3 linked regions of the Stegostoma tigrinum genome follow. The protein of the gene in region 2 interacts with the protein of the main gene of each other region in a pairwise test. Links are inferred from orthologs where the notes say so. Each region holds a gene or a part of one and is shown on either strand. Other genes may lie near its edges.

The links. The genes of interacting proteins can lie anywhere in the genome.
Region 1: the proteins of bag3 (region 2) and fam189a2 interact in a two-hybrid assay, tested with the Homo sapiens proteins (2 studies listed by BioGRID and IntAct). The link is inferred for Stegostoma tigrinum from reciprocal best matches to the Homo sapiens genes BAG3 and ENTREP1.
Region 3: the proteins of bag3 (region 2) and litaf interact in binary tests that used the Homo sapiens proteins (3 or more experiments, as listed by UniProt). The two-hybrid records come from large-scale screens. The link is inferred for Stegostoma tigrinum from reciprocal best matches to the Homo sapiens genes BAG3 and LITAF.

Annotation. Positions count from the first base shown.
Region 1 is NC_081356.1:28,054,929-28,062,089, forward strand, and holds the start of fam189a2 (endosomal transmembrane epsin interactor 1), read left to right. Parts: upstream 1-4,143; 5' UTR 4,144-4,446; coding exon 4,447-4,761; intron 4,762-7,161. UniProt on the Homo sapiens protein: Functions as an activator of the E3 ubiquitin protein ligase ITCH in the ubiquitination of the CXCL12-activated CXCR4 receptor. Thereby, triggers CXCR4 endocytosis and desensitization, negatively regulating the CXCL12/CXCR4 signaling pathway.
Region 2 is NC_081373.1:25,968,269-25,975,108, reverse strand, and holds the start of bag3 (BAG family molecular chaperone regulator 3), read right to left. Parts: upstream 3,021-6,840; 5' UTR 2,699-3,020; coding exon 2,516-2,698; intron 1-2,515. UniProt on the Homo sapiens protein: Co-chaperone and adapter protein that connects different classes of molecular chaperones including heat shock proteins 70 (HSP70s), e.g. HSPA1A/HSP70 or HSPA8/HSC70, and small heat shock proteins (sHSPs), e.g. HSPB8.
Region 3 is NC_081376.1:5,010,639-5,017,505, reverse strand, and holds the start of litaf (lipopolysaccharide-induced tumor necrosis factor-alpha factor homolog), read left to right. Parts: upstream 1-3,849; 5' UTR 3,850-3,977; intron 3,978-6,867.

The DNA of each region.
Region 1 (7,161 bases), on a different chromosome or scaffold from region 2:
AATTGAAATTTAATTTCCCTAGCTGCCATGGTGGGATTCGAACCCACGTCACCAGAGCACTTAGATTAGTCCAGTGGCATCATTGTCATTTTACCCCCTACTATCTGTGAATTAAAAATATTGGCTTCTTCTGTTTGAAAGGAAAGCTTTTCGCTTTCTCATACACCAGCAGGATGTAATAGCAACCATTGTTTTACAGCACATTTGTCTAATAGGATTAGCCAATGCCATTTTGGGCATTACACTATTAGTCATCATTAAATTAATCTTCTGATTATTTTTAAACTTCAGGAGCTCCATTTCTACCAAAAGTATAAGCTTACACTGGATTTTGTTTTCAGCCAGAGTTACAGTGCTCCTAGTTGAGTTTGAACTCCGCATTCTGAGAGTGTGCATTTACATTCAGCCAAGTGGTATATTCTCCTTTAGTCTCTGGCAGTTTTGAGCTGTTATTTGTCAAAATTTATGAGCTGAGTGGACAACTTTTGAAAGCTTTAATCAGTAAAGTTCCTTGCATGTTTAAAAACGAAGTTATGCAGGGTGCTATGGCGGGGGGGTGTGGGAGTGAATGTGATTACATTTCTGTTGTAGCTTCTGTTTTGTAAACCTCAAACTGCGTTAAGCTGAAAGAATTTTTTCTGCTGCTAAATTTTGTTTAAAATGTTGAATTTTGAACATTTCCCATCTCACCAGTGTTTGTTTTTACATTTAGCAACTGGAATAATTACATTTTCTAACATCTAAGAGACGGAAGGACAATACCTAATCAAAGTTCCCTGCAGTGTGGAAGTAGGCCGTTCAGCCCACTGAGTCAACAACTGCCCTCCAAGGAGCATCCCATGCAGACTTAACCCCCTACCCTATCCCTGTAACCCTGCATTTTCCATGGCTAATCTACCTATCTTACACATCCCTAGACACCACGGGCAATTTCCCAACACCATATCACGTAACCTGCACATCTTTTGGACTTTAGGAGGAAACCCGTGCAGATATGGGGAGAACATGCAAACCATTGAGCCACTGTGCCACCGCAAACTTCTACTTTGATTTTTTTTCAAAACGAAACATAGGCAAATGAATCCAATTTTGAAAACACACATTTTAGGAAAATGAATGTGATGGAAGATGAAGGAAATAAATTATGGTTAAGGGCACTTCTGGACCCACCACTCATACTTGCAGAGTGTCGGGGCTGGATGAAGCATTAAAGATGTGGTGAAGGGCTGGAGACAGGAGTTGATTAGATTCTGCACAGAAGCAGCAGTGGAAGGATAGAAAATACCAGAAAGAGTTAGGCCTGGATCAAGATGGAAGGGAAGTAGGAATACTCTAAGGAAAAGGATGTCATTGACAGTCAGATTCTCATGCTCATTGCCAGTGATCCCATTAACATTTCATAGGCACTTTACCTCCCAGGATGCCCTGGTCAACTCCTCTGCTCCCAGCACCTCCCCACCTTACCATGTAATCTTAATCCCTTCTCATACCAACCAATATCTCTCATCTCAATGTTCAGATTAAAATTAGTGTGGGACAGATAAAGAAACAAATAGAACTGCCTACTGAGAAAAATACCGTATTACTGAAGCTATGTCTTGGACTCAACAGGTCAAATGTAGGAACGACAATTTCAAACTGTCAAACAACTTACAGTATAAATAAAAGGAATTGGAATAAGGAGTGATTTAAAAAAAAGGAAGAAACGGCAATATGGAGTTAACTGGTAAGATCTGACGTCAAAGGAATCGTTAGGGACCCATCTTGGAACCTCAACACCAATTCAAATTTCAACTTAGTTCATAAAGGTGACTGCATACAAGTCAAAAGTTTTATTTATTTGGCTTTAAAAGACTGGAGATTGATGCAGATAATTTGAGCATACATTAAATTGTAAGTGTTTTCATTCTGCAATAGTCTTGATATTAAATTAACATACGTATCCTTGTTCCAATCTTGTACTCTCTTTCCCAATTCTTCAATTTATTTGTTTGGAACAGTTGCCTGTTCATTCAAAGTCCCAAAGTTTGACTTCCCCTGCTGCTCTATTCTCAGACTGTACCTTCAGCAAGTGGTCATGCTAAACATTTCATAAGATAAATGTGCAAGGTTCATGCCTAACAAATTGCAGCCATCATTAGGTGCTCTGCTACAGTAAAAACTGGGTGCTTATACCTTTACTTAAAGAGTAGAACCTGTTATCATGTGGAGTGGTTGTAATAAATAGCACAGATGCATTTAAGGGGAAACTAGAGAAACACAAAGAATAGAAGAACATGCTGATTGGGTGAGATTAAATAAGAAAGGAGCAGGCTCATGTGGAGCATAAATATTGGCCAGATGGGCAAAACAGATTGTTTCTGTGCTATAACATTCTCTGTAATTAATCTTCATTTTAGCACTTTATGCCTTCTGTACTTCTGTTATGTCTTGCTATCTAGAAAGATTCCATGATGTGTTTATCCATTGTTAAATGCAAGACAGCATGAAATTTTCCAACAATTGCTGAAATCACTCCCGAATCATACACTTTTACATTGTGAGTTTCCTCTTTTGCTGCTATTGAAAACTATGGTAACCACGCTGTAATAATTTCTAGCTTAGACTATTCCAACACTGTCCTGGCCAGTCTCACATCTCACACCCTCTACAAACTGTTGCTCATCCAGTAACACTAAGTCTTGTTCAATCAGTGGCTCCCAGGTCCAGTGACACCTTGATTGTAAAATTCACATTCTACATTGTTCAAATCTTTCCAATGCCTTAATCATGTGAATTGCTATGGCAGCCTCCAGCCCTACAAATCTCTGGGTTCTTCGCACTCTGTCAGTTCTGGCTTTTTGGAATTGCACCAAGTTTATTTTTGCCACCAGTGCCCGTTGTAGCTCCAGTTGGCCTGCAAACTCTGGAAAGCCCCCCCCCCGAGTCAGCTCTTTAAAGCCTACTTTGGCCAAGTTCTCCAGTTATCTGACGTATGAGACCACATGAAACAGGAACAGGAGTAGGCCATTCGATCTCTCAAGCCACCTCTGCCAGTCAATAAGATCGTCGCTGATCCAACATTCCTCATTTCCCTGCACTTCTTTCCCCCCAGCCCCCATTACTCTTGTTCCCCTACTGATTACGGATCTATCTTAGCCATAAATACACAACACGACTCTACCCCCACAGCTAACAAAGTGTGGAGCTGGATGAACACAGCAGGCCAAGCAGCATCTCAGGAGCACAAAAGCTGACGTTTCGGGAAGGGTCTAGGCCGGAAATGTCAGCTTTTGTGCTCCTGAGATGCTGCTTGGCCTGCTGTGTTCATCCAGCTCCACACTTTGTCATCTTGGATTCTCCAGCATCTGCAGTTCCCATTATCACTGTTACAATTCTACCCCCACAGCTCTCTGGCAAGGGGTTCCAAAAGACTCATAACCCACAGAAGAAATTCCTCCTCACCTCAGCCTGAAATTGGTGTCCCCTTAATTCTGAGACTATGCACTCCGGTCTTAGACACCCCCCACGAGGGGAAAACACACTCCCAGCTTTTACTAGCCCTTTTAGAGTCCGACGTGTTTCACTGAGATCACCTCTCATTCTTCTAAACTCCAATGAGTCCCCAGCATTGTTCTGTCTTCTGCGGCTGGGACTTTGACGGTACTCTCGTGAGGATCGTCGGATGTTTTATGTTAATCGTACTGTCGATTAAAAACGTTATTATTTTACAGCCAACAAACCTGTCTGTCCCTTTCAGGCTTCAATCAAGATCGTAGTCAAAACTAGACACCTTGCTAGGGCTGCATTTTTGAAATCGAACAAAAGAAATTTTATGTCAATAATACTGACATGCTCGGTATTTTCCACTGGTTGTAATTTTCCCCCCGATCGGTACGGCTGCAAGGCGACTGGGACTAGTAATTCACGATAAACGAGGTCGATAAACAGGTAAATACATAGTGGAACACATGGAGCCCGCAAAAGAATTAAATACAAGTTTTTTAAAAAAATGTTCAGTTAGGTCAAACTAAAAACCTCAAGATTGGTTTTGAAAATCTAAAAATTAGGTTTCCTAGTCTTGTTTTAAACCCACAGCTTGTGGCTGCCGCGGGGGGGGTCAAAGTCTCCCTTGTAAAGTGACTGGCTTCTGTGTGTGTGCCAGATCTAGTAATGCAATCCCAAACTCGCCTGGAGTTATTTTAAAACTAGTCAACTCAGCCACTTTGGAAAACAAGGGGAGGGTTAAAAAAAATGTTGGGAAAGTGGGACGTACCGCGACTTGGGAGAGCGATGCATTTCCTAAAAGGCATTTCCGAGCAAATGGCTTTTGAGTGAATTGAGGGATTGAAGGGGTTTACCAAAGTAAACGCAGTGATTTTCACTGTTGGGGTGTGACTGTGGGTTACCAAGTCCCGCAGTCAACCTTTTACTGTCTGTCTGTCTCTCTCTCTCTTTTCTTGCCGGATGTCACTGCCAGTGCTGTTGCCCACTTCTTGCTGCCCAGTGCAAGCCACCACACCGAGCGGGGAGGCACCGCTTCGGAACCGGGCTCGGTGTGTGTCATGGCCCGGAGCGCTACACTCCAGCAGCAGCAGCAGCAGCAATACGAGCCCGGCACGCCAGCCGCTGCACTGCCCGCTCTACGGCCGCTCCCTCTTCGCTCTGGGACTACTCCAGATCGCTCTGGGTTTCTCCATCGTGTCTCTCAGTTTCGGGGCTCTGTCCCTCACCGAGTCCCCCAACGTCAGGAACTCTTGTCCCTTCTGGGCCGGCTCCTCGGTGAGTTTAGCAACAAAACTTTCTCCATAAGTATGACACTGAATTAACTCGACTATGCCCAAGCAGTTCCCAGGTTGTTGTACTCAGACTATTGCATTTACCAAATCGGTTGATTTTTTTGGGGGGGGGGGGGGGGGTGGGGCGGAGTCCGGTTCGAAGAGCCGCAGGTTTGCATTTATATAGCGCTTTTCGTGGTCTCAGACCACTCCAAAGTTGCTTCTGAAGAGTCGTCAATGTGGCAATGTAAAACAGCCAATTGGAGCCCTATTCCCTCAAACACCAACGTGATAATGACCAGTTATTTTACTTTTTTTTGTGATGGTAACTTTTATAGAGTTTTTTTAAAATACAGATGGGCCGAACGACCTGTTTTGTGTTGTGAATTCCACGCAACTGTTGAGTTCTGACCTCACGTCCCTTTTGCTGTCCGGCCTTCTTTCTCAGTTTCTTTGACTCGTTCTCTTCTAAATTTGAATCTTACAACACAGAAGGAGGCTATTTGGCCCTTAGTGTCTGTGCTGGATCTTTAAAGGTGTTATCCAATTAGGCGCATTCTCATTATTCTCTCCCTGGAGCCCTGCAATTTATTATATCATTTGTTTTATTTTGCTTCTCATTCCTTTGGTTTTAAACAATATTCTATGCAGACATTATCCTCACCTAACAATTTACATTTACATGTGCAAATTAAAGTTATGCAGTTTTAATGCAATTGTGATGTATCTTTCTGAAGTTGCTGCTCCTGTAACATTTTAGCAGTTGCTACTTAGAGTGTTCATCTGTGAAATTCGTGATGGATCTTTTTAAAAACAGACATGGTGAACCAGCAGTTTTAACATTTCTAAATTTTAAAATCCCACTGAAGTTGTGAAGTATTGGATAGCATTGTGGGGATCTTGTACTCGTGACACCGTGTGTCTTATAGAAGAGGATGCATGTAATATTCACGCATTGTCAAAGAATAAAGAATAGCAGGAACTTGTGTGGGATGATAGCAGAATTTCTGGAAATGTATGGCATATTGCTCAGCATCTAAAAGAATGAGCTGTGCCTCACAAGGTAGCATTCCTGCCTCTGAGTCAGAAGGTTGTCCGTTTGAGGCCCACTATGTAAACAATTAAAAAATACAAGCTGACACTTGGAATACAATGCTAAGGGAGGGCTGCACTGTCAACTGTGCTGTTTTCCGTCCCAGGTGGATCTGAGATCCCCGGGACTAATTTTGAAGAACTAAAGAACTTTCCTTAGAATCATGACAAACATGATGTCCTTCAGTCACAGATTAATTGTCATGCTGTCTGTGGAAGTTAGGTAGAAGTGACTATGGAATGCTTTGAGTTGTCTCAAGGTTGTGAACGGTGCACGATAAATGCAAGATTTTTTTCTCTCTTTTTCTCTTCAACAACTTTCCACAATTCCACAAAGGAATATTTACAGCCAAGGCAATCCTGTTTGAAGTGTAGTCACTGTTGTAATGTCAGAAACACTACAGCCAATTTGAGCACAGTGAAAATGCATGAAGGGCAAAGTGATAACTACTAGATGAATTGCTTTGGTAATGTTGATTTGAAGGATAACTATTAGATACCAGGAAGAAATTCCCTGCCCTTTTGAAATAGTGCCATGCAGTCTTTTACACTGAATGAAGAGGATTCACAGGGTGACAGTTTAACATCTCATTCGGTGGAAGGTGTAATCATTTAGGTAGTGCACCCTTAGTAGTTTTTTTAAATTCACTTGTGGGACACGGGCATCACTGGCCAACCAGAATTTTATTGCCCATCCTTAGTTGCTCTTCAGAAAGTGGTGGTGCGCTGCCTTCTTGAACCTCTGCAGTCCACGTGATGTGGGTTGACCCACAATGCTATCAAGGAGGGAACTCCAGGATGTTGACCCAGCGACAGTGAAGGAACAGAGATGTATTTCCAAGTCAGGATGGTGAGTGGCTTAGAGGGGAACATGCATTTGGTGGTTTCCCGTGTATCTGTTGCCCTTGTGATTCTGGATGGAAATGGTTATGGATTTGGAAAGTTCTGTTTGAGGATCTTTGTGAATTTTTACAATGCGTCATGTGGATAGTACAGACTGCTGCTACTGAGCATTGGTGGTAGAGGAAAAAGATACTTGTGGATGTGATGCCGGTGAAGTGGGCAGCTTTGTCCTGGATGGTGTCAAGCTTTTTTTTAAATTGATGTTGGAGCTGCACGCATCCAGGCAAGTGAAGCAGTGTTTCATCGTACTCCTGTGCTTTGTGGATAGCAGCCAGGCTTTGGGGGGAGGTTGGGAATTGAGTTACTTGTTGTAGTGCTCCTAGCCTCAGACGTTCTCTTGTAGCCACTGTGTTTATGTAATGAGTTCAATTGAGTCCCTAGTCAATGGTAACTTCCAGGATGCTGATAG
Region 2 (6,840 bases):
TAGCTTTTTCTTACTTGTCGTGCTGTGCAAAACACCTTTTCAAAATATTTCCATCTCTCTTCAACTTTAAAAAGTCCCAAAAAAAACGCATCTCACTAACTAGAGTTATGGTCTGACCTCATAATTTTACCTACAAAACTCTTTATCTGTAAAGTACTTTGGGACACTTTTAAGTTGACATCACTATTTAGCACACATGCTGCTGTTATCTAGGTTGAAGTTTTAATTCTAAATTTACTTTTAATATTTTTGGGTTGCTTTCACCACTCTCAACAGTACTGGTAGACAAACTAGCTCCCAGTCACCCCTGCTGGTTGTTGAAACCAGAGTAAAAGGGTGATCTATGTACACTCAATTCCATTTTCGCTTCCTCTCAGCAAATGTCTCCTTTTAGTGTCCCTTCAAGCTGAGAGCAATGACTCAGTCATTTAGGAATCATAGGGGAGATTCCGTCCTGTACTGTCCTGCAGTAGGTCACATTAATGTCTTGGCATCGTTGACCGTAAAGATGCCTAACAGCCACTTACACCTAAATTTCGAAAGGCTTGAACTCAATAGATTTGTGAAGCGGGTTGGAATTGTTTACACTCAAATAGTAATTAGATTATTAACTTGCAGCATTACCACAAGTGAATCCAAGTGAATTATAACATTTAAGATGAATTAGACTAAAGAAAAGGGAAAAAAAAAAGAGAAGAAAGAAACAGGGGTTGCTCCAACACTGGAGCTAACACTCCCAATGAAGTTAGAGACTAAATGGGAAATGGATAAGTGCACAAACTTCAATGTCAGTTTCAGATTAGTTCAATATATGAAAGTCAGCCAAGAATAATAGATATGTGCTTCAACTGCTTCAGAAGTTAAACATTCTCCAAACTCACAGCTCAGTGATTCAGCACATGACTCCTAATCAGTTCAAAGTTGGAGCTCAGGTACACCTGTGCCCAGAACTTGCTGCTGATCAGTTTGTTCATTTCTGAGCCAATACAGTGGATTCCAGCAAAAAGGAGGCAGACCAGCTCAGGTTGTTTAACTAGCCTTGCCTGTAGAGCTTGATTACTGTAGCCACAAAAGCATTCATAACTCTGAATGCACCATCTTCCTCCTATTACCAGGGAATATAAAATTCTTCAGGGGACAAAATATTGGAATTTTGCTTTTTAAAAAGCACGTCTCGGCATTTAGGTTATCATAAATTCATTTAGGTACAATAACCTCATTTTAAAACTTGGTTTATACAAGATTAGGACAGCATAGTTGTTTAGCTTCCATCAACTGTTCACAACTTTGCCCATTTTTCTTAGGCTACAATATATGTTAAAACAAGGAATGCACATTTCCTAGCTATGTATCCTGGTCATAAGTGTGACAGGATCAGCATATGATCTTCAGATCAGCATCAATTAAAATCTGTTGCCTCATTTTTCTTTGTAATTAGCTCAGTGTTATTTTTGCCTTGAAACGCATTGCTTCATGTCTCCGATTTTGCAGGTGGATTTAAAGGCGGCAGTACATGCGGAAAGAGCAGCAAATCTATGTGCACTGGAAAAAAAAGGAAAGCAGTTTCTGGTAGCTTACTTCACATGGTAGAAACTTCACTACGTGCCTCCGAGCTGTGCTGGGTGTCACCACCAGCGTTTTTAACAGCTGACAGCTGTGCAGCTCCACAGATCCCTCATGTCTCCAAACCTTCTCCTGACAACTGACTCAGGCAGCTAAACAAGGTGCCCAGCTGCCAGGCCCTGCCTGAGCCCAGGCAGGCACCGAGCGAGTTCGACATCAACTCAGATAGACCCAAATCTTGCTCGGATTTTCAACTTAGGGCCTGCTATTTTGTTTGGGAGGAGGGAGGGGAGGGGTGAATGATCCGAGAAACTGAAGCACAGCAAGAGGGGAGGGTTTGCACAGATCACGCTGCACATGTAGCCCCTTTCCTCGAAACCTTGGCCAGGCCGTAAGTTAAAGGTTACCCAGGCGATGTTTCATCAGATCGGACTGCAGTGCGTCATCCCAAAACCCAATCTTCATCACTGACACCATCAACATGCCATTTTTGTTCGGGGCCAAATTGCTGTCAATGTTGGTTTCGCTTTATCTCTCATTTAAAAACAAAAATTAAAAAGCGGGGGGGGGGGGGATTGGGGGAGGGGAGCATGGATTGAGTAAAGGTGTCTGATGGAGCATTTACCTTTTTGCAGCAAACAATCCCGACTCCAGGGAGGGATTTTGTTTTGTTAATCGGGCTGTTCGTTACAAAAGACTGAAGCTGGGGAGGAGAGTGTCCCCTGTCACCCCTGCACAGACAGAAAGGCTTGATCTGCATTTGTAAAAACACTACAGTCTCTCCCTCCAGACACCCTCCAGGGTCAAACACGTACACACCCCTACCCCCACCTACATACATGTACACACACACACACACAGAGAGAGAGAGAGAAAAACAAACAGCCCCTCGTTAGAATGTGTTCGGAAACCGTCTCCGGGGGGGGGGGGGGGACGGACAGACAGCACTGACCTTCGGCAGATCCAGTCTCGGGTCACTCCACGTTGTCGTCCGGTTGTTGTGATCGACGAAGAACGGCCAGCCGGTCTGAGGGTCAATCTTGATCTCCCAGCCCGGGGGCAGGGCATCGCCGCCGCTGGCCGCCTGATTCGGAGAATTCTTCATTGTAAAGCCGGGCATGGTGAACTGAGCCATGGTTAGTCCGCTCTCCCCTTTCCCCTGGAATATTTATAGAGTGACACGGGCAGGCAGAGGGCTGCACTGGAAAGTCTCTAGAATTTGATCTGGGAGCAGTGAGCAATCGGAGGCTCGAATGTTCTGGCTGCTTCTCTGCTCCTGTGAAGACGATTGGGCGAGATGATAAAGCCGCATTACTAACCCATTGCTGTGCACGAACTGCAGTAACCCAGGGTTGGGTTACTGGCAAAATCTCCTCAGCTTCCCTCCCCCTGCTCCTTTCCAAATGGCAAACAGCTTGACGCCTCAATATGTTGACCAGAAACGGTCTCTCCCAGCTCGGATCAATTCTCAGGCACCCCTGATTAATTCATCAGATATTGTTAGGTTGAAGAGACAGCTCCAGATCCCACTATACCCTAATATGGTCAAAGTTTTAGCAAGTGGCATAAACTTTTTCGAAGGATTATAAATCATGAAAGTTGAGTTTCATTTTGGTTGAATGAGGTATAGCCATATAAGGTGCATTTCCAAAATAAAACAATCATTTGAATCACATCAGCCGGGCTGCGGTGCTAAATTCGCTGCCTAATTAATATGTAAAAGACCGAACCTGTCAAACCAGATTTATAAAAACCGAAAGAACTGCGGATGCTGGAAATCAGAAACAAAAATAGAAATTGCTGAAAAACCTCAGCAGGTCTGGCAGCATCTGTGGAGAGAAATCAGAGTGAACGTTTTGGGGTCAGATGACCCTTCATCAGAACTGATAGTTGCTCAGAAAAGTTGGTTTTTATGCTGGATAGGGTGGAGGAGATGGGTAAGGAGTAAACAGTAAGTGGATAAAGCACAGGATTTTTTTTGCAGACAGAAGGTAAATGTTCTGCAAAGTGATCACCCATTTCCCCATTGCAGAGGAGATCACATTGTGAGCAGGAAATGCAGTGGACTACATTGTGTGAAGTGCAGGTAAAGTGCTGCTTCACCTGGAAGATATGGCTGGGCCTTTGGATACTGAGGAGGGAGGAAATAAATGGGCAAGTGTATGGAAGGTGCAGTGGGGAGTGTTGGGAGTGAAGGAAGAGTGGACCACAGTGTCCCGGATGGAACAGTCCTTGCAGAAAGCTAACACGGGAGGGGAGAGGAATATGTCTTTGGTGGTGGTATCCCACTGGAGGTGGTGGAAACAGCAGCTACCTGAACTTCCAGTTGCCTGCTACTTCAGCACACCGTTTTATTCACTGGCCAACATCTCTGTCTCAGGCTTGCTACAGTGCTGCAGTGAAGTTCAGCACAAGCTGGAAGAAAAGCATCTCATTTCCTGCTGGAACTCTACAGCCTTCGAGACACAATATCGAGTTCAACAATTTTAGGGCTTGAAGTACCTTCTCCCATGCCCCTAGACAATCCCCACAGACCAGACCTTGTTATCACATAGTCTGCAATTTTGCACAACCCATTGTTAGCCAATAATAATCTCCATTAGTTGGTATTCATTTTCCTAGCCTGACCGTTATCCACTCCTCTGTCTGTGCAATTCTTCTTCTCTCTTTGGGCTCTATCTCCACCTATCATTTACTCCCTACCACCTCCCCCCACCCTATCTTCTGCATAAAAAAACAACTTTTTCCTCACAGTTCTGAGGAAGGGTCACTGGATCTGAAACATTAACTCTGATTTCTCTCTATGGTCAGATCCGCTGAGCTTTTCCAGCTATTTCTGTTTTTGCTTCTGTTATACTAGATGATAGAATCATGTATATTGTGGTGACCAGTCACCGTATTACTGTTTTGATAAGGATCCTCTTTAAGAGAGTCAAGGAAAGCAGAAAGGAAAGGGCACCTTAGCTGTTAGCCTTGAAGATAAATTCTATGATACAAAATTAAAGGCAGCAGAGTTAGGCATGGGTAATAAAATGTGAGGCTGGATGAACACAGCAGGCCAAGCAGCATCTCAGGAGCACAAAAGCTGACGCCTGCTGTGTTCATCCAGCCTCACATTTTATTATCTTGGAATCTCCAGCATCTGCAGTTCCCATTATCTCAGAGTTAGGCATGGGGTTGGGTTATGTTAAGGTCATGTTTTGAGGCTAGGTTTCAGTCTAGGGTTAGATCAAGGGTTTTTGAAGATAAGATATCCGTGTTCATTGATTTTCCATCTTTGCATCTGAATTCCAACAGGAATTAGTACAAATGATGATTAACACAAAAGTACTGAATCGTTCGTGATGCTTCTCCTCGATCCTCACCCACCGCAAGATCAAGCATCAGTGAAATCCATGGATGTAAAAAGAATTGACTCCTTTCTTCCCCAAAAAGGCTGGTGATGAACCCCAAACTATGTATATCTTAGGGCTGTTGTGATGCAATGGTAGTGGCCAAACCTTTGACTCAGGAGGCCTGGGTTTACATCTACCTGCTCCAAAGGACTGAGTGATTAGAATGAAAAAAAAATAAATTCGACCTTGTTCTTTGAGGATACTTACTGGCAATCAGGATGGTAGCTACTTCTGAATAACTAACTCACCCTGGGAAAATAACAATGTTGTTTGATTTCTTCATTATGATCAATTTTTAAATTTTACATGTCTGTATTTGATCTTCATTTCATTAACCTCATATCATTATTTGCCTTCTGATTTTAATTAATGGGAATTGATTACCAGAATGTTCCACTTCCTGGTTTACTGATTGTGAAAATTCTTTAATGTGATTGAGCAGTTTAGCATCTTGATGTCATCTCTGCAGTTCCCTGCTGAAAATTCTCATTACACAACATTCCACCCAATTGCTTGCCCAGAGAGGTAAAGGTCCAAACACAGAGACTGATAGATCCCTTAGCAAGACCATCTTTAAGGTCTACAGCAATTGCCATGCTTCATACAATCACAAATTATAGGCTTATATGGATGTTGATGTAAATTTGAAGTAAGCCTCTTTTCAGTTCTGCAACATATTTAATTCATTAATGTACCCTATAGAATTTTAGTTCTCTCTGTGAAGCATGAACAGGGACGGCAAATTAGTACTGTCACTGCAGGATCACTCTATTCTTGCCATTTTAACCACAGATTTTAGCCAATGAGTCAGGATAGGCGAGAGCCTCATTAAAATATGAGTCCATTTCTATAATGTTTGTCGGACTTCAACATCATTTTGGCACCAGAATCAGTCTCTCCAAGTCCCTGAAAATAAGAAATTGGAGGGAAATTTTCAAATTCCATCGATCTTCTTTCTGACATTGCTGTTATCCCCAAGCCCGCACCATGCCCCAGTAAGATCAAATTTCTTTAAATGGATTCCATTATGGACCATTTCATTTGGATGGAGGATGAGCTGATACAAAAGAGCAGCAACCACATGAGCAGTAGGTGATCCTCTTAGATAACAGCAAATGAGGGGGGCCTGCTGATAGGAGCCCACGCCGAGAATACTGGGTGTAATGGCTGAAAATTGGTTTCTTGGATATATCTGATTAGCAGTTCTTCTATATTGCTGATTTCCTCATGCCCCTGCCACAGGATCTGTTACCTGCTGGAACTAGGCAGTCACTATTTACCAGGGTGTCATCAAAGTTATTTTGTTACTTGTTTTACGTCCTCACTCTGACAGGTTAGATCACATGTAGTGTCAATCTCTGAGCTGGTGCTTGTGTCAAAGATAATAAGACTGGGCTCTTTGACGACCACACAGTTCACTTCATTCACTAGCAGATGTTGTCAGCCTATTGGCATCGCACCCTCGTTGCCAATTTTATGTCAAAGATTAAATGACTGGGTTCTCTGAGGACCACACAGACAGATTTTTGGAACTCACAAACAATATCTTCTACTTGTACAAGGGCGGGTTTTCCTACTGACAGCAAGGTATTGATACCCTAACTGTCAGTCTGAGAAGAGGAAAGGGTTATAATACACACACAGTATTTATACAAATCTGGATAGATGCAAATCGTTCCGTTTGGCAGTTGGATCAGGCAATGGGCATGTGACATAGCCACAAAATAGTAATAAGACTTACAGAGAACTGAACAAACAAGATGCGGTTAATGAGATTACAATTTCAACTCTTTAGCCCTTAGTTAACAAAGTGTTCAGATAAACTAGAATAGTGGTCACTGCTGCTTGGCGTCATGAGATTACAATTTTACCCATTAACCCT
Region 3 (6,867 bases), on a different chromosome or scaffold from region 2:
GAGAGATGATGGGCGATGGTTCAACCTGAGGGTCACCATGTCTTAGACACTTAGCAATTTTTAATAGATGCACCATAGAAAGCATCCCATCTAGATGCATCACAGTATGCTATGGTAACTGCTGTTCCCAAAACCACAAGAAACTACAGTGAGCCATAATCACAAGCCCTGTCCATCATGCAAACCAGCCTTCCATTCTATGACTTATCTGTACTTCCTGCTGCCTCGGGAAAGCAACTAACGTGAAAGACCCTCCACAGGCAGATCACACCATACGAAGTATGTCAGAGTAGCAAAACAGAGTGCAGGGTATAGTGTTACAGCCGCAGAGCAGGTGCAGAGAGAGAGATCAACATTAACATTTGAAGGGTCCATTCAAAAGTCTGACCCCAGCAGGGAAAACCCCTTCCGCCCCAGTTATATTCTCTTCATCCTCTTCTGTTGGACAGAAGATATAAAAATTTGAAAACATGTTTTATTAGATTCAACGGCAGTTGTTGTCAGACTTTTGAATGGACCTCTCAAATGTTAATGCTGGTTTCTCTCTCTCTGTACCCTCTCTGTGGCTGTAAAACTGTACCCTGCACTCCGTTCTGCTACCCTGACATACTTTGTATGGTGCGCTCTGCCTGTAGAGCATGCAAAACAACACTTTTCACTGTATCTTGGTAAATGTGACAACAATATATCAAACCAAGACTCAAAGGGAGAGGTCACGAAGTGGGTCCTTCATTAGTAACTGAACCTGTGATATTGACATTATTCTGCATCACAGAGCAGCTATCCATCCAACTGAGCTAACTATGCCCCTGCAGTCATTGTAGTGTTTTGTATAATAGATATCAAAGTATGAGATGAAAGGGTAGGGAAACCCCTTGTCCCCCTTTAGTTTACTTCACTCAGTTTGCATTTAGCTGATTGATGTCTAACAATGAAACATACTTATTCTCCTCATACTTCCTAGTCCTGCTCCTTAGTTTTATTCAGTGGTCTATAGCATATTCTTGATGTTAGTTTGGAATTTTTAAAATCAGGCTGTTTAATCAGAAGAGGCATTTTTTACAACTTTTTACATACCACATAATCAGCTTCTTTTACCTCCCAATTGTCACTGAAATGTCATCCATTTGGCATTTTAAATGTCAATATTCCGAATCTATCCTCATTTTCTCTGGTTGGAGTTATTCCTAGCTCAAATGGAGACGGTTGTGGCTGTTGGGGGTGATCATGTCAACTCCAGGACATCTCTGCAAGAGTTCCTCAGGGTAGTGTCCTAGGCCCAACCATCTTCAGCTGCTTCATCAATTACCTTCCCTCCATCATAAGGTCAGAAGGGGGAATGTTCACTGATGACTTCACAATGTTCAACTCCCTAGATTCTGTAGCAGTCAATGTCCATCTTCAGCAAGGCAACACTTGCCCTTCCTCAGGCAGCTCAGGAAATTTGACATGTCCATAAGGCCCCTCGTCAACTTCTACATATGCACCACTGAAAGCATACTGTCCGGGTGCATAACGGCCTGGTACGGCAACTGCGCTGCCCAGGACCATAAGAAACTACAGAAGGTGGTGTGCACAGCTGAGAACATCATGGAAGCCAACCTTCCACCCATGAGCTGCATTTACAGGGCTCAATGCCACAGAAAGACTGCCACCATCATTGAATACCCATCCCACCCTGGTAATGATCTTCTACAGTCTCTTCCATCAGGCAGAAGATATAGAAGCCTAAATTCACATATGAGTGGGTTCCTGAACAGCTTCTTCCTGGCTGTTATCAAACTGATTAATGGACTCTAGTCTCAAATAATGCTAATCTTGCTAATGTTGATCTGCCTAGCATGCACACTGTGCAATATAACCTGTATGCTCTGTCTAATTCTTTTCACAACCCCTGATTGTACATCCTTGCTTACTATGATCTGCCTGTACTGCTCATAAACAAAGCTTTTCACTATCCTTCGGCACACGTGACAATAATCAAGACATGGACAATTATCAGGCTTGTGCTGATAAATGGCAAGAAACATAAAAATACCAGACAATACCTACATCACATAAAAAGGCCTTTAATCATCTCTCTTTGATATTCAAGAGCATTACCATTGTTATCCCTGGGGTTAGGATGAACATCCCGAGGGTTTCCATTGTCCTTTAATTGAACTGGTCCCGCCATATAAATCCTATGGCTGCAAGAACAAGTCTGAGAATGGGAATACTGCAGTGAGCAACTCACCACCTGTCACCCCAAAGCCCTCCCACCATCTACAAGGCACAAGCCCCCACTTTGCTGGATAAGCACAGATCCAACAACGCTCAAGAAGTTTGATTGGCACCTCATCCAACACCTTCAACATTACTCTCCCATTGCTCAGGTACAGCAGTCTGGACTACAGCGATGTACACAATACAGAAGCTGCACAGCAGCACCACTAAAATTCAAATCTTTCAAATCTGTGGCTTCTCCCATCAAGAGGGACAAAGGCAGCAGATACATGGGAACCACTTGCAAGTCCCCATCCAAGCCACACACCAAAAATATATTATCGTCCCTGCTGTGCTGCAGGATTGAAATCCTAGAATTCCCTTCCCAACAGCATTGTGGAGCAGTGGCTAAACAAAATATCTCAGCACTACATTCTGCAGGACAATGGGTGGACACTATATGTTGGCCAGTCAGTGACACCCACATCCCAAGATTGAAGGCTTTTAAAGTCTTACGGATGTGACTCCCCTCGCATTCATACCGTTCCATTGTCCTTGCCGAAGATGTTTCCTCCGTCTTATTGTACAACATTCCTAGTTCCTGCAAGCTCCTAGTTTGAATGATTCTTAATAGCTGCCTCAATGACTATCACGTTCTTCGACCAGTTTTGCTTTGTAAGCTCTACCTACATAAGAGGTCCACTTTATTCTGCAAAGAATCACAGAGTCTTAGAGCTCTCCAGCACAGAAACAGACCCTTCGGTCAAATTCATCCATGCCAACCAGATATCCTAAATTAGTCTAGTCCCATTTGCCAATATTTGGCCCATATCACTCTAAACCGTTCCATTTCATGCACCCATCTGGATGCCTTTTAAATGTTGTAACTGTACCAGCCTCCACCACTTCCTCTGGCAGCTCATTCCATACACGCACCACCCTCTGTGTGAAAAAGTTGCCCCTTACGTCCTTTTTAAATCTTTCCCTTCCCTCCTTAAATATATGTCCTCGAGTTTTGGACTCCCCTACCCTGGGGAAAATACCCTTTTACCCTATTCATGCCCCTCATGATTTTATGAAGTTCTATAAAGTCACCCCTCAGCCTCTGACACTCCAAGGAAAATAGCCCCAGCCTAACCCTACAGCTCAAACCCTCCAACCCTGGCAACATCCTTGTAAGTCTTTCAAGTTTCACAACAACCTACCCACGGCAGGGAGACCAGAACTGAACACTAGGTGCAATATGTCAGCCTTCCTGCTTCTATGATGCTTCTTGGCCGGCTGTGTTCATCCAGCTCCACACCTTGTTATCACAGTATTCCAGAAGTGGCCTACCTAACGTGCTTTAGAGATTCCAAGCAAGTTAATGTGAGCACTTTCTTGTCCCATTGACAGTTCATTGGACACAAGTTGGCTAAAAATACTTGACAGACATTATTTCATGCTTCTAGGGCTTGAACTCGGGTCTCTTGGTTCAGAGGTAGAGACATTACTGCCGTGTCTCCAAAGCCCTCCAAGGCAGGGAATTTCCTGAGGTCGGCAGAAGTGCTTGACTGATTGGGATTGGCCATTAGTGCCCGTGAGCGAGCTGGCAATCAGCTAATAGCGATCGATCCTCGCCGCAGTGCGGCGTCATGTGTTAAATAGAGTCAGATGATACTGGCTCATACTCAGGGACAGAGCTACAGTGTGTGGTTTGTTTGTGTTTTATTATACGGGTACAGGGGTCCCTTTACACCGCTGTCGGACGTGGTGCATTTGAAGGATTTGAGGTAAAGGACTCGTTGGTATTTCTGCAATTCTCTAGTTCGTTTGCTGGGCTTTGTCGAAGTGTTTTGTTTTTTTTTAAGTAAAAATTTTGTACGATGATGGTGTGTGGGTTAGAATCAGTTGTAATGTTGTAAACGTTCTGGAAGAAAGTGTCTCGTAGCCCACCCCCGCCCCTCAAATCAAGCAATGTTGTGTATGTTAATGTTAGGGAGGGTGTTTGTTTGAACTGAGTCAAAAGTGACTTGTTCACATCGTTGTATTTAAAATAGTTTGCTTTTTATAAATCCTGGTGCCTGGTAAAGAGATGAAAGTTAGTACATCTTACTTAATTAGTCATAAGACTCTGTATTAGGTCAACTCCTCTATTTTTAAAGCTAGCTACCACGATGATGTGAGAATAGCTAACTACTTTTAGAAGTGTCTTTACTTTTCACGGAAGAATCCACAAATTTCTCAACTCGCAAAGTCCCCTAAGCGTAGCGAACTGATCTCAGCTCGGTTTAATTTGAAATTTGTTTTCACCGGTCATTAAGCAAAGTGCATTTACACTAGCTAAAATAAACATTGCCATTAAAGCATACGCAGTTTCTGTTAAATAATTTAAGGGTGGGGTTGGAAATAGGGTTATTAGGCTATCGCTGTTTAGTACTAAGTAGCCAGAGCCTAAATGGAAAACGAACTGTTCGTGCTCGTTGTGGATTTTGAATCTGCATTAGACTTATAAGGAAATGGAGTTCTTTTAAATTAAAAAGCTGAAGAAAAGCCACCAGGATTTGAAATGTTAACTCGACTTTCTTTGCACAGACGCTGCCAGACCTGAGTTTTGCCGCAACTCTTTTTTGATTTGAAAATAAACTTCTAGTGTCTTATGCTTTTGCCACCTTTTTAATGGGTTAATACACCTGTAAACTGCAAGCTGTCTATAGGGGATTGGTGGAATGAACATGACCACTCAAGCCAATGGTTTTTAACTACTGTACAATGTTGTGAAGTTTGTAGGTAAACGTTTGTTTGTGAAAGCATGCTGCTTTACCTGAGTGTGGAGGCTGGTGATAATGGGGACTGCAGATGCTGGAGAATACGAGATAACAAAGTGTGGAGCTGGATGAATACAGCAGGCCAAGCAGCATCTCGGGAGCACAGAAGATGATGTTTCGGGCCTAGACCCTTCATCAGAGAGGGGGATGCTGGTGACTGTGTTTCTGATCTTTGTGTGCCTCTTTATTGAAGGCAGTATCTGCTGGGTAAACTTCCAGAGCCATATGTTATCCAGAGCAGTATGGTAGGTGTGTGTGGAGTTGTTTCTCACTGAAGTGTATAACAAGGTTGTGAGCTGCCACTATAAACTACACTCTGCTCTTTCTCTTGAGACTTGCTGCCACCATCCTCTTCAGGAAACTAGATCTACTTTCTCCAGTGAGATGGAGAAAAGCTGCTTGGCCTGGCCAGATTCTGTTGAGAACCATCTGGTTTGTTGTGGTAACAATTACAGGTTATGTTGATGATTGCTAGGCATTAGTCATTAAGTTTCTCAAACAAATGTTGAGTCCTTTTTATTTTGATAAACTGTTTTGTCCACTAGTCTCAATCTTATGTTTTAATATGAAGATCTCTCTAGTAGGTTTTCATAGCTGAACTAATGTACAGGACAATAATCTCCAGATAAAACTTCTGCCATGAATACAAAGTCAGAACTTTCTGCTAACACTTGGGTGCTTTATTCATTCACGTTAAATGTGATAGTAGGGTTTGCGACTACCTCCATTATGGGTGGTGTTTATGGCTGTCCAGAATTAACCTTTCTGACTCGAGCATAATAATGTAGTTACTGAAAATCTAGATCTAGCTATGGTGTAGATTGTAATCAGGGTCAATAGGATGTAAAATGTTGAATAATGCTGAAGATCTTGAACTCAATGACTATGAAAGGCTGAGTGCTGTATGGGAAGCTTCTACCATTTGAGCAGTGTGACCCATTATTGTCACTGTCAATCTCCTGACTTTCATGCATGTCTTTTTAATGTAGTAAGATGCCCCAAGGTACCTTCCAACTGTTTCTCTTAACACTTGACCCTGAGCTAGCTGACTGGAAGCTTGGTTAGAAAGCCATGTTTTAAGGAGCTGCAGCTATGGCCATCACTTAGTTTTTCAGACATGGTATGTGCTGATTGCCAGTATTAAAGTAGATTGCTGGTAGAAGGGATTTGATTGATAATGAAATGATAAGTTGGTGACCATTGGTACAGTGTTTGAATAGGATTTGGTGTGAGTTAATCTAGGCAGCAGTGTGAAAAATGTTCATGCTGTATTAAGGATTTTGTGAATTGAAACTTCAGTATTATAACATCCATCACTAGACTGGATGCTGGAGAAACTGTACAGATCTGGCAGCATCTGTACAGAAAGAATTAATATTGAGTCCAGTGACCCTCCCTAATAGAATTGTATAACTTGCCTATTTCAAAATTGACCATAACTTGATTGCATCATGCAACAGGCTTAATGAGCTGAATGGCCTAATCCTAATTGTGGCTACTGATGTTCTCTTGAATCTGTGGGATAGTGTTTTGTTCGGCACTTACTGATCTTAATGCTTTTAAGCTGCTACCATTAATGAATGCAATAAATTTCTCAAATCAAGTTTGAGGGAAGGCTAACCTCAATTTAGAGTACAGGCAATCTGCAAATTAAAATTACATGCTACTTAACAAGCAACATTTTTATAACTGAAATGGTTTTTCAGTCCAAAAACACTTTTTTCAGGACAAATTTTCAGACTGCCCACCTGAATTGAATGGAGGTGGGTCAGAGTTGCAAAGTGCCACTCTATCAGGAAATTTTGTATTTCTTTTGAAGTGGAGGTGCTGCTTTGCTTGAAGCCCAGTGCCTGTT